Notamacropus eugenii: one gene and its partners. The protein of the gene in region 4 interacts with the protein of the main gene of each other region in a biochemical or structural test. Links are inferred from orthologs where the notes say so. Each region holds a gene or a part of one and is shown on either strand. Other genes may lie near its edges. The genes, in order: ARFIP2, CYTH1, CYTH2 and ARF6.

Region 1 (6,944 bases), on a different chromosome or scaffold from region 4:
GAGAGGAGGGCACTTATTCCTGCTCCCCTCAGCCCCTCCTAGGGAGGAGGTCCACTGATCCTCCACCTAGGAGGGCTTCTTGGGGACAGGGGCCAATCCAAGGGGGCAGGCCTCACTGCTCCTGTAGCCAGGAGTGCTTCTTGGGAGTGGAGGGCCAGGCCAGGCCATCTCACTGCTCCTCCAGCCAAGAGGGTTTCTCAGAGCCTGGGGGCCGAAGCTTGATGTTGAACTGCTGCAGGGTCTGCTCAAGTTGCTGCTGGTTCCCAGCGAAGTAAGCGGACACGGCATTGTGGAAAAGCAGCAGCTGTTTGTGCATCACCTTGATCTGGGGGCATGGATGGGGGTCAGTTGGGAGGAGGTGGGAAGAGAAAAACATTGAGAGGAGTTAGGGGGTAGGGGTGAGGGGGACAGTTTAGCACCTTGTTCTCCTCCAGAAATTTGAGCTTGATAGCCACGTCCCCACGAAGTTTCTCATACTTCTCACGATGTGTCTGGAATGTGGCCTGGGCACTTTCAAGTCGGCCCAGAGTCCCGGCATCCCGTGGACCCAAGCTCAGTTCCTCTAAGTCTGTGCGGTATGCATCATATTCCAGTCTAGGGGAACAGAAAGAGTCATGTATGAATAAAACTTGGGGAGTAAGGCCTAAGGCGTCCTGACCTTGAGCCCCGTACTCACTCCCCACTCCAATTTTATGGCTTGTACATTCCTACCTGGCAGCCTCATATTGCTTGACAGTCATAAGAGTGTCCTCCATGGTTTTGGTGACCAGGGTGTTGATGCTGGACACAAAGAAATTGACAGCCCCCAACAGAGTCTCCCCATTCTTACACAGCAACTTCTGTGTCTCTGCATTATAACCAAATTCCTCCTGTGGGTTGAATGAACATAGGGGCCCAGAGGTCATGCCTTGCCCCTGGTCCCCTGTTGCCCTCAAAGTGGAAGGGAGGTAGGTGCACACACCTGGAGCTCGGGGGACTTCTGGCTGAGGTCAGCGAAGGCATCACCCAGGGCATGCTGAGTCTGCAGCAGGCTATAGAGGTGAGCAGTGAGTGCCCGGCCCAGCTGAAGAATACTCTCATACTTGCGCTTTGTGTCCCGTAGCAGCTCAATCTGCAGCTCCAACTCTAGGTCCACGGTGCGTGATCCTCGGCCAAACCGTTCGGACAGCAGCTGCTTTGTACACTGAGCAGGCCCCAGGCAGTCAGAGGGCCCTCCCGGAGACAAGAGCCCCCCAGAATATGGAAATACCTGCCCCCCTCCCAAGTTTGTGACTATGAGCCCCTGGAGGAGCAAGGGCAGGGGTGAAGGAAGGGATGGGATGGGATCCAGGGACCGGGGAAGAGGTAGGGCATTAACAGGAGATAGGATCTGGGGGAACCCACGGGACAGGGGGCTGAGGGGACACAAGCCCCACCTTGTAGGTGTTGATGCCCCACTTCTTGACAATGTCAAACTTCTCCCCAGCAATGCCCCGGGCCACTTCGTCACCAGGGCCAGCAGGGGTTGCACTGTGGGGCTGCTGACGGCCAGGCCCTAAAGGATAAAATTCTGTGATCTGCATGATAACCATTTCTGTCTCTATCCCCTCTTTTCTTCCTTTAACCAACAATTTCTCAGGTTTTCAACCCCAATAATTCCCCAAGTCCTCTACCTCATACCTGTGGGGATAAGACCATCAGCCGAGCCCCCATAGCCTCCTGACACAATGCTCGTCTCATTGAGATTTGGTCCAGATACCATCACCTGCTGCAGGTCCTATGAGGGGTCAAGTGGGAGTGAAGAGGGACAATTAGGTAGAGACACAGAGATGAGGAATGGAGGACTCACAGGAGAAGTTCAGAGAATTCAAGGTGTAGGAAGGTAACCTAGTTTGGAGTAGGGTGACAGAAAGTAGGGGGATTGGGAGGTCCAAGATTTGGTAAGGCTAAGGTATAGTTAGAGGTGCAAGTACAAGAGAGATTAGAAGATAGGATGGGAGTTTGGGTATTTAAAGGAGTATTAGAATAGATGGGGCACCCAGAGATGGCATGATCATGAACGTGAGGCTTAGCGAGGTCAAGGCATGGTATGGGGCACCAGGGAATTTAAGAGTAGTAAGGGTATTAATGGAACAGAGTAAGTCAGAGAATGGACAGAAGATTAAGAGTTCTTAAGTAAGGAGGTCAGGACAAGTTACTGGCACCAGGGATATGAGTACACTGGGGAGCTCGGAGCAAACAGACCCCCACCTGCTCCAGCCCATCATCTTCAGGAAGCCGTCCAGCCTCGCCATTGCCGTGGATGGGGATCTCCATGGTGGCCGCTTTCCCCAGGATCCCGTCAGTCATGGCTGGGGGAGGCAAAAGTTCGAATAAGGGCATCTATCCTCAGTAAACATATTGTACTTCCCACGGACCCAGGTGCATTCATCCTTCAGGAGAATTCTGCCCTGGACGTGGGTAGGTGTTCGTCCTCTCCCCTTGGCCGAGTTGGATGCCCCTCTTCCCCCCACTTGTCTCAGGTGGGCGCCCCTCCTCCTTCCTGGGCTCAGGTGGGTGCCCCTCCTCCCCCCTTAAACCCTGGCTTTGGCTGGGTGCCCCTCCTCCCCTCTTAAGCCCTCAGCTCAGCCGGGTCCCTTCTCCTTCCCCCTGTCCCTAGGGCTCGGGTGGGTGACCCTCTTCACCGAGCTCAGGTGGACGCAGCTAAGCGCTCCTTCCCCCCCATTGACTCAGGTGTGGGTCTTCCTCCTCCCCCCCCAGGGCTCAGGTAGGTGTCGCCCAGCTTCCTCACCTCTGGCTGGGCCACGCTCCCTTGACTTCCTTTCCTCTCTCCCGGCAGCCTCGCCTGTCCCTGCCCTGCCCTCGGGGCGCCGGGCCCGGGGCCGTCCTGGGACCTCGGGCTCCGGTTCCCTTCGCGCTCCTCGCAGCAGGTCAGGGACACGGCGGAAATGACGTTCTCTGCCGGGCAAATGAAGGCAGCCGCGTTGCCCACCGCCAGGGCGGAAGTGACACCACGAGCCGGGCCACGCCGCCTAGCGCCGTAGGCGGGGGCAAGGTGTGCGCGGTTGCGGAAGTGACGTAAGGGGCCTGCGCCCTGTGGGGCCATGGAGTCACAGCAGCAGCACCAGCAGCAGCAGCAGCAGCAGCTGAGAAACGTGAGTCGGGCTGTGAAGGTTCTCTTCGGCTCGGCGGGTCCCTCGCTCCTACCCCATGGGCCGCCGGAGCCTGGTCTGGGACAAAGGGAGAGGGAAACCCGGTGTGTTAAGAGAGGGCAGGCTGTGCGGCCGATTGTGGAGCATGCGCTCTTTGGTGCATCCTTAGTGCCAGGATCGGGGGCTGGAGGCGCGGTCTGACGTTGAGATGGAGAGGCCTGTATGGCCCGGGACGGGCAAGGGAATGCCTCGGGAGAATGCTTCAAGGGCAGGGACCCTGAGTGCTCGGGACTCCCTTTCACGTCTGAGGCTGGCTGGGGAAGGGAGTGCCTTCGGGGGCGTCTCCCAGCCCCACCCCCCGATTCCCGCTGTTCCCACGCTCGTGTGTCTGCTTGTCTGCGTGTGCAGCCTCTGGCCCCTTCCTCCGACTAATCCTGATCTGTGCTTTGAAAAGAGCTCTGGGTTTGGTGGCTCTTGTTTTGGTTCTCTGATTGATTCACGCTTTAACCTCAGGCAGGTCACTCTTCTCTCCCCCCCACCCCATCCTGTTTTCCTTATCTATAAAAGGCTGGGAGTTAAGGACAGAATATTTACGGTCACTTCTAGTACTAATTGTATAAGCCTTTTCTGTAGAAGGTGTCTTCCCCGGGACCTCATCACTCCTCTTCTCCTCTCCCCTTTGCCCCCAGCTTCGGGACTTTTTGTTGGTGTATAACCGGATGACGGAACTCTGCTTCCAACGCTGTGTGCCCAGCTTGCACCATCGAGCCCTGGATGCAGAAGAGGTGTGTGTAAGAGATGTTCTCTGTAGGGAGGTGGAAAGTGCTCCTCTGGACTGAGGAAAGAAACTGTAACTGGAAGTAAACTTGGGGAGGAGGGAGACTGACACCACCCTTCTCCCTCCTTTCTAGGAGGCTTGCCTGGACAGCTGTGCAGGAAAGCTGGTCTACTCCAATCACCGCCTAATGGCCGCCTATGTACAGCTGATGCCTGCCCTGGTACAGCAGCGCATGGCAGACTATGAGGCCACTGCAGCACTGGCAGAGACAACTGGATCTCCATCAAGCCCCGTGACTGGCCAGCATGGGGCTCTAGGCCCAGGAAGCTAAGGGATTCCTGTTCACCTACCACCTTGGAATGGAATGCTCAAATATGGGACTTTCTGATATCTGGAAAGCGTATAGTGTGACATGGGCAATTTAGGGGGCTTTCTGGGGCTATCCTGTGTCAGTTCCACCTCAGTTGTTGCTTACCAAATACCCTTATGTCATCACACCAGGGGCCCATCATCTCCCACAAGTGGTGTCCAGGCAGAGGGAGAGTAGACCAGGATATCCTCCAAATTCCAAAGGAAATAGTACAAAGGGCTAGAACCAGAGATGACTGAACAGAAAGAGAAGATTGCCTGGATCCTCAGAAGGATTGGAATACAAGAAAAGGAATTATTAGTTCATGGCAACCCTTCTGATCCCTGTCACTGAAACCCGGAGATGGCAAAACATCCCTAATTGTACCTTTCCCCCTTATCTGACCCTGCCTGTCAGTAGTAAAGTCCTTATAAGTGTCCATGCTTGTGTGTGCTTGCTTTAGGGGAAGCAGGGTATGGATTGGTTGAGACTTTTCTTGTCCCTCTCCTGGACAGGAGTTTGAGATGAAGAGAAAGATGCTGTCTCAAAGTATTGGCTATAGGATTTAGGAAGTCTCAGGCTGTCAGAGAAACTTCTTTAGGCATCTTTTGTTTCTTAGTGGCTAATTTCCTTGCCAAATCCCTATCTGTATCTTAAATTGTATTCCCTGACTTCTCTTCTAAGACCTTGATTCAACTCTCATCCCTCTTCTCTGTCTTTCTTCCCATACAAACATTTTCTCCCTTGTTTCTTTGACCCTCAATCTTCTTATCCTAAAAAAACCAAAAACTTACCCTGGACTCTGCTACCCTCTTCAGCTTTTGTTCTCTGTCTTCACTATCAAAGTCCTAGGAAGAGTAGTCTGTACTAAACTTTGTCAGTATTCCACTTTCTCACCCACTTTCTCAACACGTTCTTTGAAGCCCTGAAATCTCTTCTATCCCAGCACTATACTGAAACATTTTTCCTATGGTCATAAATAACTGTTTTATAACCAAATCTAGTTAGTCTCTTCTCCTTCCTCTTTGACCTCTGCAGCACTGGATAATCTCCACTCCTATCCCCTTCTCCCCATTTATACTCTCTCACCTAAAAGTGAACATTGCCAAAACTAAACTTAGTGGTTTCCCCAGACCTACTTAAAATTTCTCTGTTTCTAAAGTTGTCACCATTGTCTTCTAGATACTGAGGTTTACCTCTTGAGTCTTCTTTTACTGGTTTTTCCCTTCCCATGCCCAAACCAATCAGTTTTCATGACTTGTCTGTCTTATTTATAAGTATCTCTTGCAACCACCCAATCTCTAGTTCTGACACTAACTCTAGTTGTTACTCATCACCTTTCACCTAGTCTGTTATAGCAGTCTCCTGACTGATCTTTCTACATCTCATCTTGCATTAGCAATCAATCACAAGTTCAGTCACTATCAATCCCTATAACTAGCAAAATAATCTTACCAAATAATAAGTCTGCTATTGTCAAACTGACCTTGTTTGAAAATATTTCATGGCTCCCCATTGTTCACTGATTACAGTCCAAACAACCTGGTATTCAAAGCCCTCCATGATTTGTCCCCAACCTACCTTCTTAGTCTCATCTTCATTGTTCCTCTTAAACCTATACCACAGAAATACGGGATGACTTGCTTTGCTGTTGGTGTGCCTTAGGTTTTCCTGGCTCTAAGACTGCACATACTCTCTCCTATACTAGGAATGTCCTTACCCACTCTTCAAGACTCAATATAAATATGACCAAAAAACTCTGTTTTCTTCAGTTGATATCTTAAATACAGCCCTTTGTCCCTTGGTATTTTTTATCGTACCCTCAGACTTGGGGTTGGACTCCCATCCTTAACTGTGTGACCAGTTGTTAAGTCTCACCAAACCTTTCACACCATAATCTTTAAAATTAGATAATAATACTTGTACTACCCTGCCTCACAGGGCTGTGATAAAAGTGTGAGATATATGCTGTTTGAAAAATGAGGAACAACTCATTTGGGAATGACTGCATAAATTATGATTTAAAGATAGAAAGTACCATGGCATAGTACAAAGAGAGCTGGCCTCTGTTAGGAAGCCCTGCCTCTGAAATATATTAGCTGGAGAACCCTGAACAAGTTACCAAACTTTTCAGTGCCTGGGCAGTTGTCTAAGACATTAAGTTGCAGAGGAGGTACCAGTATAGGTGGAGGGAGTTCCCTCTATCAGTGAAATCACAAGTTCAGTCACTATCTCCATATCTCTTATTGATGATCTATCAATGGTATGTTGTGGTACCATCAATAGTATAAATAATAGGATAGTGGACCTGGGATTTCATTGGTGGGGAGAATTCTTGATTGTAGAAAGTTCCTCTACCAGTGAACATGAGTACCTGCTCTGTAACTTACAGTTTTAGTGCCACTTAGTGTCACTGTTAAGTGACATACTTGCCCAGAATCATACTGGCAGTATATGTCAGAGGCAAGTCTTGAACTTGGGTCTTTTGACTCAGAGGTTGATTCCACCAGGCCATACTGCCTCCCAAGTAAGAATATGAGAAATTATGGATATGAAATATGCCAAGAGAAGTCAGAATAAGAACATTGACTAAAAGGTAATGAAGCTTTAGGACATTCAGGAAAAAAATTGTATTTTCTATTTTTATTTTTAAAATCAAAATGCAGATACTTAAAAACTTTAGTTT
Region 2 (7,557 bases), on a different chromosome or scaffold from region 4:
CATGATTTTCCTTCTAGCTTAACTATTTCCTGCAACACCATCTTTCTCACCTTCTCCATCATATTCAAAAATGTGAGATTATCTTTGACACTGATCACCCAAATCCAGTTATCAGTTCTGCCTCCATACCAGCTATCACATTCAACTCTTCCTCTCTATTCCCACTATACTACCTAAGCAGGAATAATAAGAGGCAGCATCTCATGCTACAATGAAAAAAGCACTGTATTTAAAGACAGTTGCAATCAGGATTAAAACCCCACTTCATTTACTTAGGAGCTATGTGGCCATGGACAAGTCATTTAACTTGCCTGGTCCTTACATGCTCTACCTTTAAAATAAACTCCTACACCTCAAGAATAATATAGTTGGAGAAGACCTCTGAGGTTGTCTAGGCACGATATTTTGGGGAATAAATCCAGCTAAGGATACAGAAAAAAAGGATTAAGTAAATAAGAAAAGAACTAAAAAAAGAGCAATTTCATGAAAACCCAGAGAGGAGCAGTCAGGAGAAGAGGGTGGTCAATAGTGTCAAATGTACAGAGAGATCAAGAAGAATGAAGACTGAGAAAAGGCAATTAATTTGGCGTATAAAATCAGTGAGGTCTTTGGAAAGTGCAATTTCAGTTTAGTGATGATGTCTAAATGTAGATTGTAAAATGTCTAGAAAAGAGTGAGTGGAGGAGTTTCAATTTCAACTGAGATAGCTACTTGAATGGGAGGCAGACCAATCAACTTCCACATACCTACTCCAGCAAAACTGTGAAGTTTTCAACAGCCTAAATAATGATCAAGTAATCCATTAAGAAACTTAGTAAGTAACTTCTTCAACCCCAGAACTGCACAAAAAGTAATGAAATACAGTAATGAAATCACAGGACCTATCCTTATGTTAATACCATCCCTGGATGTAGTGTCTTGTAAAAAAAGAAAGAAGAAAAGAAAAAAGGAAAAATGGCTTTATCAAATTAGGCAAAGTACATGAGGTTGTAGGGATGATAGTAGTAGCAATAATAATAGTAGAAGTAGCAATAGCAGCAGCAGAAGTAGCCATTACACCCATATACTTGGGCTGTTAACAATAGCCACCACAGGTCCTCCTGCATCCCTTTTCATACTGTTACTACACTGTTTCTGTTTCATACTGTTACTGTTATATACCAAGTACTTAGATCTGGCCATGTCACATCCTGGTTAATAAATATTTAATTTATTTTTAAAAATCTAAACTCTCAACTGCCTATAAAGTTAAATTGAAACTTCTTGGCTAACATTCATGACCCTCAAAAGGGTCACCTTACTTTTCCAGACTTATTTCATGTTATTCCCCTCCATGTACTTGATAGCTCAGTCAAAGCAGACTCAGTCCTCCAATCACGCCTCTGTGTCTCTGATCACATTGTTTCCTTTGCTTGAAATGTCTTTCTGTTTCCACCTACTTCTCAAATTCCTATATGTTCATTAAACCCCAACTCAAACGTCACTTGTCCATGAAGCTTTCCCTGATCCCTTGTCAGTAACAGTCTTCCCCTTCATATAATATTTTGTTCAGCAACTATTTAATGTACCCATATAATACTGTGTATTAGTTATCTGAATTTGTCTTATTCCCCCTACTAAACTATAAACTTTAAGGATGGGCATAACGTCTAATCAAAGTTTTGTACCTCCCCAGTTCCTAGCACAAAGTGTATTCTTGATAAATTTTTTTAAATGAATGAGCCAAAAAACAAATGAGTTTGCCATTCACAGGTCAAGAACATACGTTTTCTTTACCTTATCCTGGATATGGAACAACATAAAAAGGAAAGGCATTTTTATTACAGCCTCCATCTCTAATTGCAAAACTTCACTATATGACTATAAGGTTAGATGTAGTCTTCCTCCCAAAATAAAACATATTGTTTCACACAAGCCAGTGTAAATTAATTTTGATTGTAATTTAAAGATAAATTATAATATCAAAACTCTACTACCTACTCAAAGTTCCATGAACATCATTTTAATAAAAACAAAACATAACTTTAAACACACTGTCTCTCAGACACACTTTTCATAGAAAATCTACTGGAATCCAAAAATTACAGGAATATCTTTATATTACTTATAATTTCACTATTTACTGTGAGGGTGGAAAAAGTAATCCTATCACATCTACCTATCAGGCTTCAAAATAATCTGAAAGTAATTTTGTAAAAAGAAGAAAGAAGGCCAAAATACTAGGTACTTTTTTCATCATGTTTAATGAATAAAAATATCAGTGATTTTTAGTCCTAACACAGAATATCCGGATCCCAACTTGTTAATGTCAAAAACATTATGATTGATAAATACTTTCTTGACCTTGGTCAAAAAACTAATCCAGCCCAGCTTCATAACCTCTATAATTTCTGACCAAGTGCCAATTTAGAAAAAGGAGTTGAAGGTTCTGAGAAAAAGTTAATCCCCTTAATTAAGTAGTATGAGCACTGAGAGTTTAACTTCAAAGAAAATCATTTGATTTGTAATAATACACTTGTGAAAAAGGAACAGCTAACAGGGACAACTAATTTACCCTTTTTCTAAAAGAGGAGGTGAAGATAAATGAAACAAACCCTATACTATATTTTTTCCTTTCACGTGGAAACCCTGCAGTAAGAAGAAACCGTAGCCTGGTTAATTCTCAACCCCACCCAAAAAAGGCAAAAGGCCTAGTAATTCTGTCTTCAAGCTTCACATTATTAGTCAACATACATACAGAAATTTTCCGTCCTATAATAGAAGTTAAGTTTTGAGTATGATATTGAACTCACCTTCCTCTTCCTCTGTTTTAAGTACCATTTTGTCCAATTGGATAAAATATGAAGGTCTCAGTCAAGTTTATTCCTCTCAATTGATTTCTTCTGGTAAAAAAAAAAATGTAACCAAAGAGAAAGCTTTCCAAACTAAGTAAGATTTTGTGGGCCAGAAATACCTGTAAATCTGTCTAGCCACTAAGACAGCTCAGAGCTGCTTCCTGAACTGAAAGCTACAAATACACAGAGCCAATCAGTAAACAGCCAGAAAAGGAGTGTCATTCCCTGTTGAATCACCACCACCTAGTTCCTGTCAAGCTGAAGTACCTTCCTATAAAGAAAGTTAACTCTTTTAGCACCTAGAGTTTGTCTAACAGGGTGACAAATTGTTAGAGCAGTTCAACTCTCTTCACAAACACAAGCAAATCAGATTTAACCACTAGAATTGCCTGCTCTCTTATCCTTTAGCCCCAATTCTTAGATTACAACAGGAAAAAGCCCTGTCTTCTCATAATTAGATTATAGTTTAGTTCAAAAGAGGATGACTAGTCAGAGTTCATGACATCACAGGTCAAATAGGTAAGATTTTACAAGCCAATTAAAGTTCAAAACCTTGCATATATAGTAAGCTCAATAAATGGATGGTATGAACACGCAAAACACAAATCTAAAGCAAAATGCCAAACATGATGAGTTCTTCCTTAATCATCAAGCCACTTTTTCTAATGTACCTACTCAGCAACTTTTTTCTTGTACAACCCCTATCAAGTCCAATGTGACTCTCATATTGATGGAGATGAAAACCCAATCTTTTTCAAGGGGCGTGACAGTGTTGGCAAGACATCAAAGACTTTTACCAGTCCACCTTCAGGGATTCATCCTTTGGGTGCTCCTGACTTCCATCTTTGAGAAATAAGATGAAAGAGTCCAATCCCGTGAAGTGGGTTACTACTCTAGAGTTACTACTCTAGAGATTCAGGGGAGTATTCCCCTTGGGGGAGATCTCAATAAGAGAGTTCTTTCATTCTGTACTGCCTGGTATATATTCTTATATGTAGACCTTCTCTGATTTCTGTTTGCCACGATTTGGATAAATAGGTTTATTTGTTACGTGTATTCATTGTGGAACTAGTATTAAGTGGAAAAGTAGTCAAGTCTTGGATACAAAGTTTGGGGTCCCCCTCCTTCCAGAAATGATAAAGCGATCAAAAGTTAGATAGAACCTATCTCTTAGATGAACATTATTTAAGGAAGCACATAGATATATTTCTGGGCCAGAACTCTCTCACTTTCATTGGGGGTAAGTCAGTTCAACTAAGAGAAGGTTATGGATCTCACCCAAAGGGAATACTCCCTGAAGTCTCTAGAGTAGCAAGCTGGGAATAGGGACTACCTCCTCCTTTCATGTCTTCCCAGAGTCTTTTCCTTTAGCAACCTGAACTTCTTCCATCTTCTCTAAGGAGAGCAGAGTAGTGACCTCTGGCCCCAACTTCCTACGTCCCCTCATACCAGGAATGAAAGTCTCCTATGGAGAAGGGTGGGGATGAAAGAGGCTAGAGATATCTATTCTGCCTCCCTCAGCCATACAAGGATTGATTTCCCATTCTCTTCCTTCCAACATTATCTTTTTTTTTTCTTAATTATTGCTTTGGTTTCCTGATTAGTCTTCCTGTTTTATTCAGATTTATCCTTTTCCCTATCTATCCTCCATGTAGCTGCCAATAGTGATATTTATATGATGTGAGTTTGGCAATGTCACTCTCCATTCTGTAAATTCCAGTGGCTCTCTAATGCCTCTAGGTTTAGTGCCTGGCACATAGGAGGCATTTAATAAACGTTTGCTGACTCGACTGTGGTATCAAATATAGATGCCTTTATTTGCATTTGAAGCCCTTGATGGCCTGATTCCAGCTTCCTTTCCAGTCTTATTGTAACACTGTTCCCCTTCACATGCTCTGTGGTCCTGCCAAATAGACCTTGCTGTTCTGCACACATGACATTCCAACTCCTATATGCATGCTGGCACTACTACCTCCTCTCCTCTGCCTCCTGAAATCCCTGGCTTTCTTCATGGTTTAGCTCAAACACCACTCCCTATATAAAGCCTTTCCTAATCCAGTCCAACTGCTGCTCTTTCCCCTGCTCTCAAAAAATTACCTTGACAGTATTTTACATATCCTTAAATGCATACATGCTGATTCCCCCAATTAAATGTTAAGTTCTTTGTGGGCAGGGACTGTTTGTCTTTGTACTTCTAGTGCCTAGCACAGTGATTAGCACACAAGAGCTGATTAATAAATTCCTGATTAATTTATCTTGGTGATTTTGTTTGTACCACCTCCTGTGGTCAAAATGGACTTCTACTGATCCCTTACTCCCCCCAGTTAATCTCCATAGGCTGAAATACATCCTTCCCTTCAAGCTACAATTCATGTACTTTCTCCTTGATGAAGACTTCCCTAACTCTATCCAATTGATTCCAAATTTTTCATATCACTTTGCCTGAAAAATTCCTTTGTACTTTTCACATTCTTACATCTCCATTACTGATATCACCCTAGTCCCCATATAACATCTTAAGTACCTTGAGAAGAGAATCTGTGTCACTGGTATCTTCATATCCCCAGCATAATCTTTTGCATATCCTAAATGCTTGATAAAAGTTGATCTAATAGAATGTTTATGAAGCATACATATATATAATATATTTACATATATTGTACATCTGAGAACTCCTCCACCAATGTAGATCAGCAACTTGTTTACAATTTCATAGTCTTAGAGAGTGATCTCAGGCACTGAGAGGTAAAGTGACTTGCCCATGGTAACACAGCATGGGTCAGAGTAAGGTCTTTGAACCCCTGTCTTCCTGACTCCCAAGCTGGCTTTCTATCTACTAGACCTCTGAGGTGAGGTATTTACAACTGAGAATTTTGTCAAGAGAATGTATGCTTCACAGATAGGTTGCAAATGGCCCTAAGTTCTCTTCCAGCTATAAGTCTGGTTCTAGGAGTTATACTTTAATATTTCAGTGAATCTATATCCTCTTAAATGCAGGTATTCTCCTCTGATGATATGGGTGGATTTTACTCACAGAATCTAGTAGAAGCCTTCCTAGTAACATTACAAAGGATACCAGTCCAGTTCTCAATATCTTATCTACTGCTCCTTTCTGACCATATATTTCCTGGATGATTTTTATGCCACTTCTTATGCACTCGTCAATTTTGGTAATATGCTGACATCAAATTATGCACATATTTTTTTTTCTATTGCCCTCTGGGTCTCCCAAAGTTTTAAGTTTCTCCCCCAACAAGTTTCATCTTATATACATGCTAAGATTCCTTGACAGAAGCAAAAACAGACAACTCTGTCCAATAATGTCTGATTATTAATGTCAGGCAAGAAATAAAGCTGAAGAGATATGCTTGCTAAAAATACTCACCAGAGTCATAGAGGATATCCATATGTTCAAATAGAAGAAAAAATTCACAATAAGTGATGAGGTCTTCAGCTGTTCTTGTTTGTGGATGACACTGTACTGATAAAATAAAGCCACAGAGCACTACAAAGCCTCACTAATAAGATCCATAACTCATTCAAAAGAGTTTAGCCTAACAAACCACAGAAGAAAATCCAAGTAGATGAAAAATGCTTTGTGCCCAGACTATCATATGGAATTGGATATATAACTCATTGAGTTAGTCCCTCATTATATTTATTGTGAAGAAAAAATGTAGAGAGACAATGAGATGGTTCCAGAATTAAATAAAAGAAACAAAAGTTGGCTGGAATTTCATTTAGGAAACTGAATCAGAAACTTATCTTTGTAAAAAAAAATTGTTATTTTTGTTGATAACTTTTGTTTTTAAGTCACAATCATTTCTCAATATTGCATCCCTGTCCTACCCAATAAGCCCTCCTTTATAACAAATGTGTTTTTAAAGGGGGAAAAAGTAGTTCAGCAAAAACTAATTAACATATCCACTACGTCTGACAACATATGCAATATTCTATACTTATAGTCCCTTCTTATCAACTCTTTTCCAGGACCAACTCTGGTTTAGACCAACACTGTTTCTTTTTCTGTTTATTCAGCATATATTGTTATTGTCATAATATACATATCCTTTTCTTGGTTCTGTTTTCTTCTCTCTGCATTTGGTCTTCTTCGGCAACGAAGAAAGAATACACACGCATCAGCTTATACAAGTTTCCCCCATGCTTTTCCATTTTTTTCATATACATCTTTTCTTAACATATAAGTAACATTTAATTACACCCACTTACCACAACTTGTTTAGCTACTCCCTGATCAAAAAATGACTACTTTGTTTCTTGTTGTTTGTCATTAAATAGTGCTGCTCTGAATATTTTTATGTATATAGGACAAAAGTATAGTGGGATCTCAGGGTCAATGTGTATGGACAGTTTAGTCATTCTTTTTGCATAATTAACAATTGTGGTCCAGAATGGTTGAGCCAATTCACAATTCCATTAATGGTGCATTAAAGTGTTTGTCTTTCCAGTCCCTCCCACACTGACTATTCTCATTTTCTATCACCTTTGTCAATTTGCTAGATATAAGGTAAAACCTCAGAGTTGTTCTTATTTGCATTTGTATTATTGATGTTTTGGAGCAATCTTTCATATGTTTGTTAATAATCTGTAATTATTCTGAGGAACTGTTTGTATCCTTTAAGCATTATCTACTGGGGAATGGTGCGTGTTCCTACATATTTGTGCTAATTCTCTAAATATCTTAGAATCCAGATTCTCATCA
Region 3 (6,854 bases), on a different chromosome or scaffold from region 4:
CCATTGTCCATGAGATCGATGCTTCCAGCCCCCTGTACGAGATGGGCCGGGCTGAGCTGGCCAGGGCGGACTTTGAGCTGGTGGTCATCCTGGAGGGCATGGTGGAAGCCACAGCCATGACCACCCAATGCCGCTCGTCCTATCTGCCAGGGGAACTCCTGTGGGGCCACCGTTTTGAGCCTGTGCTCTTCCAGAGAGGGGCCCACTATGAGGTGGACTATCGTCACTTTCACCGAACCTACGAGGTGCCAGGGACCCCCATTTGCAGTGCTCGGGAGCTGGAGGAGCGTCGGGCCCTGGGGGACAGTGACAGCCCTGGGCCCAAGGGTGGCCTACCCGGCACCCTGGCTGCCTTCTGCTACGAAAATGAGGTGGCCCTCAGCTGCTGCCAGGAGGAAGATGAGGTGGAGGAAGAGAGGGGTGAAGCCCAGGTGGAGGGCAGCTCTGGAGCTCCCACCCCACCCCCACCTCCATCCCCTGAATTGGCCCCACCTCCTTGAAGGGCTGGGGGACTGCAATTCCCAGTATCATGGACCTTGGCTGCCTCAGTGGTGCATCATGTTACACCCCTCCCCAGGAGTTGTGGGAGTTGTAGTCCTAGGTTGGGGAGCAGCTGGAATCTAGGCCCAGGGACTCCCCTACAGCCCTAGAGCCCCTTCCTTCTGTGGGGCATGGGCTAGGATGGAAGGGGAGGCAATGCATGCTTCCTGAACCCTGGACCTTAGGAATGGGGGAGGTGGTTTATGGGTGGAACCTTCTGGATGAGTTGAATCCATAGCCCCTCTTCACCAGTTTCCCAACAAGGGGGAATGAAGGTCCCCCTCCCTTCTACCCCTATGGACACCCTCACGTGACTCCTCCCAAGTCCTTTCCTTCTGGGCTTAATCCTGCCTGGAGTCCAAGAGGTAGGGGGTGGCCAGGGTTGTTCTAGACCCCTCACCCTCAAGAAAAGACTGGGACCCAGGATACCCATTGGTCCAGGCCCCTGTTTTGGGAGAGGACAAGCCATGGAGGGTCCCAGGTCCTGGGGCCATGAGGAGCCTGGCCTGGCCTCCAGGCTAAGAAGCATCCTGGATGCTCTGGGCCACCCAAGTAGCCAATGTCTTTCTCCAGAATGCCGTGCATATTAACTATCTACACATTTATATATATACATATATACTCTCCATAATTTTTCCTGATTTTGCTGCAGAAGGGGTGGGCAAGAGTGGCCTTGGTCTCAGGAAGGAGGTCATTCTGGGCAAGCAGGAGACCTCAGACTGGAATCCAGCCCCTTTCCCTCTGTTTCTCCTGTTAACCAGAGCGGGTTGGAATGTGTTTCCTTCAGCTTTGCCAGCTGGGGAGCCTATGACCTCCGCACCCTGGGAGGTGGCATCGCTCACTAGCCTCACTGGAGACTTTACTGGAAGGCCCTAGAACAAAGCAGGTGGTGTTCCTGTTAGGACCTGGCACGGCCTCTGGACACTGGGAAAGCTGCAGCATGAGTCACCCCAGACTGAGCCCTGGGCTGGGCTGCCCTGCCTTGCCCCTGCCTAGGCTCTGGGGCAAGTGAGGAGGAGACTGAAGGACCCTGGGGTCCTTTCCACCATTGCCTGGGGGTGGAGGGAACCGGCTTGCCCTTGCCCCCAGAATAAAGAATTGTGAAGCCATCTGTGTGTGTGTGTGTGTATGTGTGTCTGGGTGAGAGGGGTGAGGGGTGGCTGCCACCCACAGTCCTGGCCCTTGGCCCAATGCCTCATTTTCATGAGTGTGCCTAGGGAGAGGTGCCAGCTTGCAGTGGGGGCTTGAGTCAGGGGAAAGAGTGGAGGCACCCAGGATCCCATCTGGGCCCTCCATCCTCCCCCCTCCAACCCCACCCCTCACAACCTGGACCTTGGGCTCCCTCCTGCTTCCTGGAGCCCATGCTTGGGTTCAGGGTCTTTCCCCAGGGTCCCAGCTCTCCCATATCCCACCGTACTCCAGAGACCTCATGGCCCTTTTTGCCCAGTCCCCCATCCTCCAGAGGCCCCATCCCTCTTTCCCCAGCCTCCTAAGGTCTCTTTCATCCCTCTGAAGCCCTGTCTTCCCCCTTCACCCCACCCCCCTCCTATGGCCTTTATCCATCAGTAACCCTGATAAGGACCGGAAGGAATTAATTAGCCAGGCCGCTGCAGGATTGTAGGGGGAGAGAAGGTGAGACCTGAGGCCTCAAAGGGTGGGGGGAGTGCTGAGGATGCCCAGGTGGGATCAGGAGGTAGCCTAGGGAGAAGGGCATGGCAGAAGACCTAGGACCCCTTCTTGGATACCAGGAAGAATATGGGAGCTTCAGACTTCCTGAAGGTCAGAACAGGGACAGGGAGGGGATTAAGAGGCAGAAACTTTTTCCATGGCTAATCCCTGGGGGAAGCTGGTCACCTGGAGGTGAGGAAGGGAGCCACAGCAGGGTCATCACCTCCTTTTTCCCTCCTGTTTCTTCACCAAGAAAAGAGCCCTACCTAACTGTGCACTCAGAGAACCTGGGCCTCAGTTACCTCATCTGTAAAACAAATGGATTGGATTAGAGGTCAAAGATTCGCTCCCACTAGAGATGTGGTGCGTGGACCCTGAAAAGGGGAGGGGTGCACAAAGGCAGAGTTAGATTTGCAAGGGGCCAGAGGTCATCTGGGCCAACTCCATCATTTCGGAGATGGGAAAAGAGACCCAAAGGTGATTTGGTCAAGGTTCCCCCAGGCAGGAAGTAGCAATTTGGAAATGCAATCCCTACTAGGAACTATGTGGGGGAACAGGGGAAAGGACAGGAGCCCGAGAGGAGGCAGGAGGAAACAGACAGAGTGTGAGAACTGAGGTGAAGGGAGAGGGACACCTCCAGAGGAAGACGCAGTCTGCATGGAGAGGGAGGAGATGAGGAGGGGAAGGAGTCTGGATAGAAAAGGAGTCAAGGGAGATGAGGAGAAGGTGGAGGAGAAGGGGAGAAGTCTAGATAGAGGGGGAGGAGTCAAGGGAGATGGGGAGGAGCCTGGATAGAGAGGGAGGAGTCAAGAGAGATGGGGAGGAGTCTGGCTAGAGAGGGAGGAGTCAAGGGGAGATGGGGAGGAGTCTGGCTAGAGAGGGAGGAGTCTGGATAGAGAGGGAGGAGTCTGGATAGAGAGGGAGGAGTCAAGGGAGGGCCCAGAGTGAGGCTAGGAGTCTGAGAAGAGTCTGGGCAGAGGAGAGGAGTTTGAGAATGATGGGATCTGAAGAAATGATGAGAAGTTAGAGGGAAAGGGGTGGAGCCAGAGAAAAGGGGAGGAGCCAGAGGAGAGGGCAGGAGTCTAAGAAGGGGAGGAGTCCATGGGAGAAGGGAAAAGGATTTGGTAGAAGCACAGGGTGGGTTCCCTTAGAAACACCGCCCTCTTCCACAGCCTTCAGCTGTTGCTAAGCAACGGAACTTTTTTTCTTTCTGGATCCCAGCTCTGTTGCCGCCCCTTAGCAACGCACCGGCTTGGAGAAAGGCTACCTCCCCCCGTCTATCTCTCGGCCTTCTCACGCAGGCGCAGACACTCTTGCCCATCTCAAGCCGAAGCCTTCCCTAGTCTGCTCCCTGTCACTTTTTCAGGGGTTGATACTCCCGATTCTATGCGCACCGCCCTCCTGAGCCGGGCCCCAACCGTCATTGGGTCCAGCTTGAGGGGCGGGGCCCTGAGCCCCTTCCACGGAGTTCCATTGGCTCGCTCGGTCACCCTCCCCTTGTCCACCGAGGCAACGCGGCCGCCTCACGCCCCGCCTCCGCCGGGCTTCATTGGCCCAGGTAACCTGCCCCTCGACGCCCATTGGGCCCACGGAAGCCAAGCTCAGGTTCCCATTGGTCGGGGGGCGGCCCCAAACGAGAGCGGAGGCGGTGGCGGCGGCGGCCCCGGGAGCGGCCGAAGGGGCTGAGCATAGCCCCAAGGACCTGCGGAGAACCGGTGGCCCGAGCCACGCTACGGGCCCGCGCCGGGCTGCCCTGGTCACCATGGAGGACGGAGTCTATGGTGAGGCGAGCGCGGAGCGAGCTCCGGAGGGCTGGGGGGCTGGGAGGCGACGGGACGTTCCATTCCATTGTTCGGGACGATACCATTTCCGGCCGGCGCAGGGGGGCGTGGTCGAAACCATTCCCTGGGCGAGTCCATTTCCTGCCTATGGGATGTACTATCCCAGGCGCACATGGGGGGGGCTCCCTTGGATCGGGAGACACCATTTTTCTTGGAAGGGGGAATCATCCCAGGAAAGAATGAAGGCGAGGGTGGAGTTTGGGGGGGCAGTTGAGTGGAGATAAGGGGGAAGAATCCAAGGCTTCTCTCCCCCAACCCCGCTCCCAAACTTAGTCCTAGTGTTGTCCGTGCTCTCTGCCTCAGTTTCCCCGGGAGACCTTTGCGCACCTTTCCCCAGACATGTCCCCGCACGCGGTCACGCGCGGACGCACCACCCCTGCGGCCAGCCCTCACCCCCCCCCCGTGTCCCCCAGTACCCCCAGACCTGACCCCCGAGGAGCGCCTGGAGCTGGAGAGCATCCGGCGGCGCAAGCAGGAGCTGCTGGTGGAGATCCAGCGGCTCCGCGATGAGCTCAGCGAGGCCATGAGCGAGGTGGAGGGGCTGGAAGCCAACGAGGGCAGGTGGGCAGCGTGGCGGCTGGTGCCCAGGACACGCTTGTTGGTGCAGCTGCGGAGCTGGCTGCCCTGGGCCACCCTTCGGTGTCAGAGAAGGGGTTGGGGGGCCCTGGGACCCAGCCCCAGCCGGGAGCCCCGAGACCCCAGGGGACCCCAGCGGGAGCCCCGAGACCCCAGAGGACCCCAGCTGGGAGCTCCGAGACCCTAGCCAGGAGCCCCGACACCCCAGGAGACCCCAGCCGGGAGCCTGAGACCCCAGGGAACCCCAGCTGGGAGCCCCGGGAGCCCCAAGACCCCAGCGGGAGCCCTGAGACCCCAGTCAGCCCTGAGACCCCAGGGGACCCCAGCCGGGAGCCCCAAGACCCCAGCCAGGAGCCCCAAGACCCTAGGGGACACCAGGAAACCCCAGCTGGGAGCCCCGAGACCCCAGCCCCAGCTGGGTGTGGGTAGGTGGAAGGTTCCCTAGCTACTCACAGCTCCCCTTCCCACCCTTGCAGTAAGACCCTGCAGAGGAACCGCAAGATGGCCATGGGGAGAAAGAAGTTCAACATGGACCCCAAGAAGGTGCCAGGGCTGAGGGCAGAGTTATCTGGGAGTGTTGGGGGGCCATCAGACCCCACCTCACTCCCACCCTCTCTCCTAATCCCTCCGCAGGGAATCCAGTTCCTGGTGGAAAATGAGCTGCTGCAGAACACGCCTGAGGAGATCTCCCGCTTCCTGTACAAGGGTGAAGGCCTCAACAAGACGGCCATCGGAGACTACCTGGGGGAGCGGTGAGGGCGCAGGAGTGGGCACAGGGCAGACATAGGCATGAGGCAGGAGTGGGCATGGGGCAGGAGTGGGCATGGGGTGGGCAGCTCACAGTGTGCCCTTTGTCTCCCCCCAGGGAGGAACTGAACCTGGCTGTCCTCCATGCCTTTGTGGATCTGCATGAGTTCACGGACCTCAACCTGGTTCAGGCACTGAGGTGACTGCAAGCCCCCCCTACTTAAGGAAAACAGCCAAGACCAGAGCCCACCTCTGTAGGACCCTGGACAGGCAGTGTGTCCACTCCCAACCTGTGACCAGGGGGGCCCTCTCCTTGCTGCCCCTCTGCCTCTCAGGCTCCCATAGCAAGGGATGGGAGTCCTTTCCCTGCTGCCCCTCCTCACTGCCTTCCATCCCCCTCAGACAGTTCCTATGGAGCTTCCGCCTCCCTGGGGAGGCCCAGAAGATTGACCGCATGATGGAGGCTTTCGCCCAGCGCTACTGCCTGTGCAACCCGGGAGTCTTCCAGTCCACAGGTGGGCCTGACCCAGGGCACTCAGAACATTACCACAGTATCCACTGTTTGCTGGCACATTTTGGGGATGCAGAGAAAGGCAGATGGGATGGGGTGGGGTGGTGGGGCTGAGGGCAGGGCAGGAGTAGGCCATGGGAATTTTTCAGGGAGGCCGATTTAGGGACTTCCCTGCAATCCCAGAATTCCCAGAGAGGAAGGTGGTGAGCTCCCCTTTCCCCTCTCCTTCTGCCCCTCCTCTGAGTGCAGACACCTGTTACGTGCTCTCCTTTGCGGTGATCATGCTCAACACCAGCCTGCACAACCCCAATGTGAGAGACAAGCCGGGTGTCGAGCGGTTCATCACCATGAACCGGGGCATCAACGACGGCGGTGATCTTCCCGAGGAGCTGCTCAGGGTGAGGCTGCCACCTGCCCCTATCAGCACCAGCCTGTGCCCACAAATGTTGGGCTAGGGCCCTCTCTGCCATCATCGTGGGCTGGTTGGCTTCTCCTGCCACCTCCCCCCACAACACCTAGCCTGTGCCCATAAATGCTGGGCCAGGGCCCTGTCTGCCATCGCTGTGGGCCGGCCGGCATCTCCTGCCACCATTCCACCCCTGCCAGCCTGAGCCTGCAAGCACTGGGCCTTCTCTGCTGTGGCTCTTGCTGCTGCCTGGCTGGGCTCTCCTTCCCTCCCTGCCTGGGTCCCTGCAGCCTCTATCCTCCTCCCTCCTGTGAGCTGCCCCTCTCTCCCAGACATCTCTCAGCTTGAGGTCCTCATGCACCCTCCCTTCTCTTCCTCTCAGAACTTGTACGACAGCATCCGCAACGAGCCTTTCAAGATCCCCGAGGATGATGGCAATGACCTGACCCACACCTTCTTCAACCCTGACCGGGAGGGCTGGCTCCTCAAACTGGGTACGGCGCCCGGGGTGGAGCACTGGGGAAAGGGCCGGGCGGGCCGGCCGGGAGGGGGCTGGGGGCTGGGG
Region 4 (6,870 bases):
TAAAAGAATAACTATAAGTTCCTTTACATGTATAGTACATACAAAATAAATAGAAGGTAATTTCAAGAAGGGAAGACACTGGCAACTGGGAGGATCAGGAAAACATTTCATTTAGGAGATGGTATTTGAGAAAAGCCTTGAAGGAAACCAGAAATTCTAAGAAGCAGAGCTAAAATGAGGTGAGGGCAAGTATGTTCAAAGCATGAAGGCAAGTACAAAGGTACAGACCTGAACGATGGAATGCTACAGTATATGTAAAGGAACAAGAAGGCCAGGTTAGTAGCATTGTAGGAAGCCTGTAAGGAAAACAATGCATAATAAGCACGGAAGGGTAGATCTCATAATTGATTGAAGGGTGCAGAGAAACTTTGTATTATATTTGTCTGCTGATTTTTTAAAAAATTGCTTTTTATCACCTTAAAGCCTCTCCTGCAACAAGATGTCTTCCATGCATGTTAGAAATTATATATGATTCCTTGGAAGATGTAAGAGAGAACTCTATTCAATGAACCTCTGCTTATTAATATCAAGATAGGGACTGGACATCTGAGATGATGAGATGTCTTCTATCAATGTAAGTTTGGCCTTTCTCTGCAAGTCTTAGAAAGTTACCTAGATGTTAAGTGATTTGCACAGGGTCACAGGCAGTATGCCCAGGGATGACATTTGAAACTAAGTCTTCCTGGCTCTGAGGCTAGCTCGCCCTCTATCCACTATGCCACTGTTGTTCAGTTGTGCAGTTGTGTCCAACTCTTCATGACCCCAAAGGCACATCCTTCTGTCCTCCATGGGTTTTTCTCAGAAACCACTCCAATGGAACTCCTTTCCTTAGAACTCTCCATTACAACCTGTCCTTCTTGGGTAACTCCATATGTCATTGCTCATAATGAAACTATATTATGTGGAATTACACAAGCACCTCTGCCAAAACAAGGAAGAGGTGATCCAGGAGGGCACCACTGTGCCATGTGGTCTCACTATTAATATCAAATGAAGCTTAAAACAGAGATATGTTCGTCAAAGGTGTTGGCACTGTCATGCAAGATTTCCAGAACTGAGTCCAGGTGGAAGATGGTGATCTTATAAATGGTGATGTTCCTTTCAGATAATGATAGCTGGCATTTATATAGCACTTTAAAATTTACATAGCAATTGTTATACGTGACCTCATTTGATCCTCACAACTCTGAGAGGCACATGATAAAATCTCAATTTACAGGTGAAGAAACTGAGGATGAGAGAGGTTGTAACTTGCCCTGTTTACATTCAAACTCATGTCTTCTTCACTCCAAGTCCAACATTCTATGCATTTTGGGTCACCTTGCAGATGTCATTGTTCTGATAAGACCTGCAACATTGTAGATGTAAAAAGGATCCATAATCACTCAAAAGAATTTGGTCTATTTATCAACATAGAAAAAAAATTAAGAATGCCTATTTTCTAAATGAAGTAGTAAGATGATCTATCACTATATGGACAAACAATGCAAAGAGGATAGGTGGGGAGAGGTAGAACTGAACAGGAATAAGAGCAAGCTAAGGAGACTGTTATTTTTATGATCCCTAACTTCTCCATATAACAAAACTCAATATTCTTTCAGTGATACTATATGGCCGTGATCATGAAATACCATATTTTCCAAAGCATCAAAATTATGGGTAACATCATTAAAAAAAGCATTATAAAAAAGCAGTGCAAAAGATCAAACATGATCCTTTATACTTCATTACACATCAAAGTGATGTCTAATAGCTAGCTAGTATTTATACACCAGGTGAGGATTTGCGAAGGGCTTCCCTCATGTTATCCCATTTGATCCTCAACTCAACTCAGTATAAAAACAGCCATTTCCAGATCCCAGGTCACAGATTCTCTAAGGCAGGATTTGAGTTCATGTCTTACTAGCTATACCACCTGGCTGCCATAAGGCATAAGAAAGTTGGCTGGTCATGTAGCAAGAGTGAAGGACAACAGAAGGTATTGGCAGATAGAAGGACAAGACCGTGTTCCCCACAGTTATTCACATGTTAAGAGCCAGCACATTGGATACAGGAGGCAGAGGCAAAGTCATACTGAGTGAGAAAGTGCAGGAGTGAGTTGTGATTGGTACGTGGAGGGAGAAGTCATATGGCTGATACCACAGATCCTGTGAATTACTGGCTTAAGAATTTTGTTCTCTTTCATAGAGCAATTTACTTCACCTTTTAATTTTGTACCTTCCTATGAAGAGCAACCTGCCATCTCTCCAACTACTCAACGGAACACCAAACCCAATTTTAAAAAACCATTCTTTTTTCACTAGTTCCTCTTTCTGCCATGGCTAAGTTCCCATTATTTTAGTTCTGATTTGTACTGGTATCACTAGCGTTCATGCACGTATTTTAACTCAGCTGATCTTCACAACCCTCGGAGGAGGTGGTGGTAGGAAGGCTGTGGAAACTGAGACTTGTCTGAGTGAAGTAAAGACAAATCTTTTTCCTCTGGTCGGTGCTTTTTCAATACTTTGTAGATACCATGATATAACTTCTTGGCATTTAATAAAAACTCCCTTGGAATAAAATGCAGGCTAAGCCTAGGAGCAGGAGAGGAGGACAGATCTGCGGCTGGAAGGTTCTACAGAGGAGGAAATCGGGCTCGGGAGGTCGGAGGCCAGGTCCGGACCGCTGGCAGACTTCGGCTTCACTCACGAGGTTCGGCTCAGTCCGGACTGACACGGACTCGTACATTTCAAAGGATCCTGCCCGGGGGCGGGAGCTTCCACTGCGGGACACCGTGAAGCACACGCACACGCACACAGGCAGCCACAGCACGGTTTTAAAACTGAAGGGAAACGAGGTTTTCTAAAGTTTCGGCAGCCGGGGAGGCGCACAGGGCACACCCAGGGCCGGCCTAGCCCAGCGCGGGGCGCGCCGACGGGCGCAGGAGCGGCCGCGTGGGCTTCTTCCGTACGTCTTCCTCTAGCGGCGCGGCGTGGCGCGGCGCAGGGCAAGGCGGGCGGCGAGGTCCGCGGGGGCGTGCGGCGCGGCGTGGCGGGAAGCGGGGGGCGGAGGGAGAAACTACGAAAACGGGGTCAGGCCGGGGCGAAGGCCAGGACGGAATGAGGGGAGCGTTTAGTAGGCGGGGGGCAGGCAGGCCCTGCACGCCGGAGGATTTTCCCGAGGATTCCCGGCCCTGGAAGTGGTGAAGCGGCCGGAACGAAAGAAATGGAAACTTAGGGGAAGAAGAAGAAGGAGAGAGGGCGGGAGAGCCACCTCCCAGCCTTCCTCTGGATTGGCCCGCCCCCTCCGTCACCCGCGGGAGCCCTTCGGGCCACCGTAGTCCGCGCCTCTCCTTTTCCCCGCGTGGCGCCGATGACGCGAGGCGCTGAGAGCACTCTTCTTACAGAGGTCCCTTTCTTCCGAACAGTCGGTTGCCCGCCGCTGCGCCTGCGTGGCTGAGAGGGGAAGTGAGGCGGTTTCCTCGGCGCCTTTTCCGGCTGTGGCTGGGGCTGAGCTGGGAGGAGGAAGAGGAGGCGGCGGCGGCAGCAGCGTCGGCCGGGGGACCCTGCATACAGGGCGGTGGCCGGAGGTAACTGCTTGGGCTGGGTGGGGAAGGAGGGTACTCAGGTCCTCCATTTCTTTCCCCGGAGTTCCGGCGGTAATCCCCTTCTCCCTTTCTTTCCTCTCTGTCTCCTTCCAGGTAGCTCACCGAGTCCCTCCGGGGATCAATGACCTGACGAGGAGCCGGAGCCGCCGCTGTCGCTCGGGTGGCGAGGGTCGGTGTTTCGGCGGGCGGGCGGGCCGGGGTCTCCGGCGGCTGCGGGGCCAGGAGAGACGGCAGGCAGCCCGAGGAGCGGGCCGAGCGGGAGCGGCGGCGGCGGCGCTCGGTGCCTGGGGGGGAAGGGCAGTTCCGGGCTGGGCCTCACCAGGGCGGCGGCTCCCCGCGGCGCAGCTTTTGGCCGGCGGCGGCGGCGGCTGGAGGAAGCCCGTCTTGGGGCCGGTGATGTCCCACTGAGCGGGGCCCCGGGACTCGGCCCCTAGGCGGCGGCGGCTCCCCCATTGCAGGCCGCAGGGCGTCCTCGCGGCTGGGCGGGACCGCTTCGGTTTCCTGGAGGCTGCGGCGGCGGCGGTGCCTAAGGGGACGCGGGACACCTGAATGCCCCCAGCCCCGGCTTCTCCGACGCGATGGGGAAGGTGCTGTCTAAGATCTTCGGGAACAAGGAAATGCGGATCCTGATGCTGGGGCTGGACGCCGCCGGCAAGACCACTATCTTGTACAAGTTGAAGCTGGGCCAGTCGGTGACGACCATCCCCACCGTGGGCTTCAACGTGGAGACGGTGACTTACAAAAACGTCAAGTTCAACGTGTGGGACGTGGGCGGCCAGGACAAGATCCGGCCGCTCTGGCGGCATTACTACACCGGGACCCAGGGGCTGATCTTCGTGGTGGACTGCGCCGACCGAGACCGCATCGACGAGGCCCGCCAGGAGCTGCACCGCATCATCAACGACCGGGAAATGCGGGACGCCATCATCCTCATCTTCGCCAACAAGCAGGACCTGCCTGATGCCATGAAACCCCACGAGATCCAGGAAAAACTGGGCCTGACCCGGATTCGGGACAGGAACTGGTATGTGCAGCCTTCCTGCGCCACCTCAGGGGATGGACTCTATGAGGGCCTCACATGGTTAACCTCTAACTACAAATCCTAATGAGCATTCACCGCCCATCACACCCCCCTCCCCAACTCCCCTCAGGAGAGAAATAAAAAAACATTCATAGGATTATCACCACCATCACCTCCAAAATGCCACTTTCTCTTCTTTTGAATATGGACTCTGGAGTTACTGTTTTACTGTTTGGGGGGGCTGGGGTTTGGGGGGTTTCTTTTGTTTGTTTTCTTTCTTTCTTTCTTTTTTTTTTTTGCTTTGCTTTAGGACGCTCTAGTCTGACATTTGACATGAACACAAAGTACTAGGTGCTCTTGTTGACTTCCAGCAAATGGGGTGGGGGAAAATATAGCAGCTCTTGAGATGGTCCTTTATAATAATGGTTTGATTTTTTTATTTTGAGGGAATCTTTTTTTTCAATGTATGTCTCCCCCCTTTTACCCAGTTACCTTATCACTTGCTGTAGATGGCTTATTTTGCATTCATGCAGACGATGTTGCAAGTCTGTTTCATCTAGTAAACTGAAAATTATTGCTTAATCAAACTGCAGTCTGTCTTTTATATTTAAGGACTCTTTTTTTTTAAAGAGTTCTAACTTTAGTAATTTCAGGTGTGTCTTTTCATATCTAAAACTAGAATGGTAAAACCTTGCCTGCAGTGGCAAACAAGTGATACCATTGTAATAACTTGCAAGTGCAAATCCGTAATGTTAAGCAGGTAATGTAAGAAGTGCTTTGAAATGTTAGCTATTAAGTTCTGAAACATACATCTTGCATGACTAGGGATAAGACCAAATTTGCTGTACCACATAGCTAGCTGTTTCCTGAATGAAAATGTGAAAGTTTGAACAGGCCATAGATCTCGTATTGAAAAGTTAGCAGTTGTGTTGAATTTTCTCTCGTTGCTTTTTTGTTCACTTCCGATAGTAGTGTAAGAATTATTCAGGCAATAGAGCAATAATGGTACACACCACTTTGATAGCTGAAACATTTTGTTACATTTTGACAAAACATGCTTTTTTTTAGTTGGCAGATAAGATAGCAAAAACCAGACAGTGAGTTTTGATAATTACTAGTCTGTTTATTGTGGTCAGTTCTGAAATATTTTTAAAAATTCAAATTATCAATCTTTTTTCCAAACTGCAAAAGCAAACATTCCAGTTTCCCTATCGCAGAAGCTGATTAAGTTGAAGAAATAAGTAATTTTTTTAGAGTTTACAAATGACCTATATCTTAATTATCAGTGAAAAAGATGGATTATTTTTTAAAGTTTGACTTAATTTTGTGAGAATGTAGATTTAATTCATGGAGGTGGTAATCAGATACTTTATTAGTTCACATTTATTTAAATTTAGAAGGAAAGGAAAATTGATAGATGACTAGATAAAATCCACTGATAAGAAATGCCAAGTAAATAGTGGAAAATATGTAGGTAATGATCCTACATATGACGATGAATGTAAATTTATAAGTCTTGTGAAAGATAACCAGTTTGTCCGTTTGTCAGCTACTGTCAGTATAACTAGATTACATTGTTAACCAGATAGTTGAGAGTACTTTGAATCAAATGTTAATAACTTGATATAGAATTGTGCAGCAGAAGCTGGTTCTTAGCCTCAAATATTAATTTTTAGAGATCATTAAAAAGTTAAAATTTGGAATTTAAAGAATGTATACTATAAAATCAGAAATGAGGTGGTGTGTGTCTGTATGTTTGTGTGTGCACTTGGGGTTTATGAAAAATCCGCAAAAGTTTGAATGAGACATCATACTACAGTTGTGCAGTATTAATCCTGCATGTTTTTTGACCATAAAATGTATGATGGTGCTTTTTACCAAAGATATGAGGGGGCTTAAGGTTATAGAAAATTCACTTCTTGACATGAAACAACTTGGACAAATATTTTACTTAATAGACTAATAGATAATAAACTGTTTCTATAGAATTTATATGGAATAGGAATTAAAATTTCTGCTGTAACTTAGCAGTTTAACTTCATTCAGGGGCAAGGCCTACTGAAAATTAGGTTGAAGAAATAAAACATTTTGGGTACCCTTACAAAAGATTTCTAAGGCTCCATCATAAATTTAATTCATAGTCTTTTGAACGATTCTAATTTTTAAGGTACATAAAATGTTTGTAAAATGATATTCAAATATCAGAATGTACTAGTAACATCTGGAATAAGATAAGCACAGAAAATTCCCAAACTGGAAGAAA

What was found.
Region 1: the proteins of ARF6 (region 4) and ARFIP2 form a complex in vitro, tested with the Homo sapiens proteins (2 studies listed by BioGRID). The link is inferred for Notamacropus eugenii from reciprocal best matches to the Homo sapiens genes ARF6 and ARFIP2.
Region 2: the proteins of ARF6 (region 4) and CYTH1 form a complex in vitro, tested with the Homo sapiens proteins (2 studies listed by BioGRID and IntAct, with this or other methods). The link is inferred for Notamacropus eugenii from reciprocal best matches to the Homo sapiens genes ARF6 and CYTH1.
Region 3: the proteins of ARF6 (region 4) and CYTH2 form a complex in vitro, tested with the Homo sapiens proteins (3 studies listed by BioGRID and IntAct, with this or other methods). The link is inferred for Notamacropus eugenii from reciprocal best matches to the Homo sapiens genes ARF6 and CYTH2.

What each region holds. Positions count from the first base shown.
Region 1 is NC_092876.1:89,003,397-89,010,340, reverse strand, and holds the start of ARFIP2 (arfaptin-2), read right to left. Parts: upstream 3,020-6,944; 5' UTR 2,771-3,019; intron 2,331-2,770; 5' UTR 2,329-2,330; coding exon 2,230-2,328; intron 1,757-2,229; coding exon 1,660-1,756; intron 1,535-1,659; coding exon 1,416-1,534; intron 1,184-1,415; coding exon 962-1,183; intron 870-961; coding exon 712-869; intron 595-711; coding exon 420-594; intron 326-419; coding exon 170-325; 3' UTR 1-169. Other genes in the region: TIMM10B (mitochondrial import inner membrane translocase subunit Tim10 B), read left to right, coding at 3,084-3,134, 3,821-3,916, 4,043-4,240. UniProt on the Homo sapiens protein: Plays a role in constitutive metalloproteinase (MMP) secretion from the trans Golgi network. May have important functions during vesicle biogenesis at certain cargo subdomains, which could be predominantly utilized by secreted MMPs, such as MMP7 and MMP2.
Region 2 is NC_092873.1:320,236,748-320,244,304, forward strand, and holds the start of CYTH1 (cytohesin-1), read right to left. Parts: upstream 3,018-7,557; 5' UTR 2,821-3,017; coding exon 2,793-2,820; intron 1-2,792. UniProt on the Homo sapiens protein: Promotes guanine-nucleotide exchange on ARF1, ARF5 and ARF6. Promotes the activation of ARF factors through replacement of GDP with GTP.
Region 3 is NC_092876.1:12,827,908-12,834,761, reverse strand, and holds the start of CYTH2 (cytohesin-2), read left to right. Parts: upstream 1-3,837; 5' UTR 3,838-3,970; coding exon 3,971-3,989; intron 3,990-4,386; coding exon of another isoform or gene 4,387-4,462; coding exon 4,463-4,610; intron 4,611-5,101; coding exon 5,102-5,168; coding exon of another isoform or gene 5,169-5,258; coding exon 5,259-5,377; intron 5,378-5,490; coding exon 5,491-5,571; intron 5,572-5,774; coding exon 5,775-5,887; intron 5,888-6,132; coding exon 6,133-6,281; intron 6,282-6,671; coding exon 6,672-6,854. Other genes in the region: KCNJ14 (ATP-sensitive inward rectifier potassium channel 14), read left to right, coding at 1-500. UniProt on the Homo sapiens protein: Acts as a guanine-nucleotide exchange factor (GEF). Promotes guanine-nucleotide exchange on ARF1, ARF3 and ARF6. Activates ARF factors through replacement of GDP with GTP.
Region 4 is NC_092872.1:332,282,615-332,289,484, forward strand, and holds the start of ARF6 (ADP-ribosylation factor 6), read left to right. Parts: upstream 1-3,868; 5' UTR 3,869-4,164; coding exon 4,165-4,692; 3' UTR 4,693-6,870. UniProt on the Homo sapiens protein: GTP-binding protein involved in protein trafficking that regulates endocytic recycling and cytoskeleton remodeling. GTP-bound form plays an important role in the transport of multiple palmitoylated proteins form the Golgi to the plasma membrane.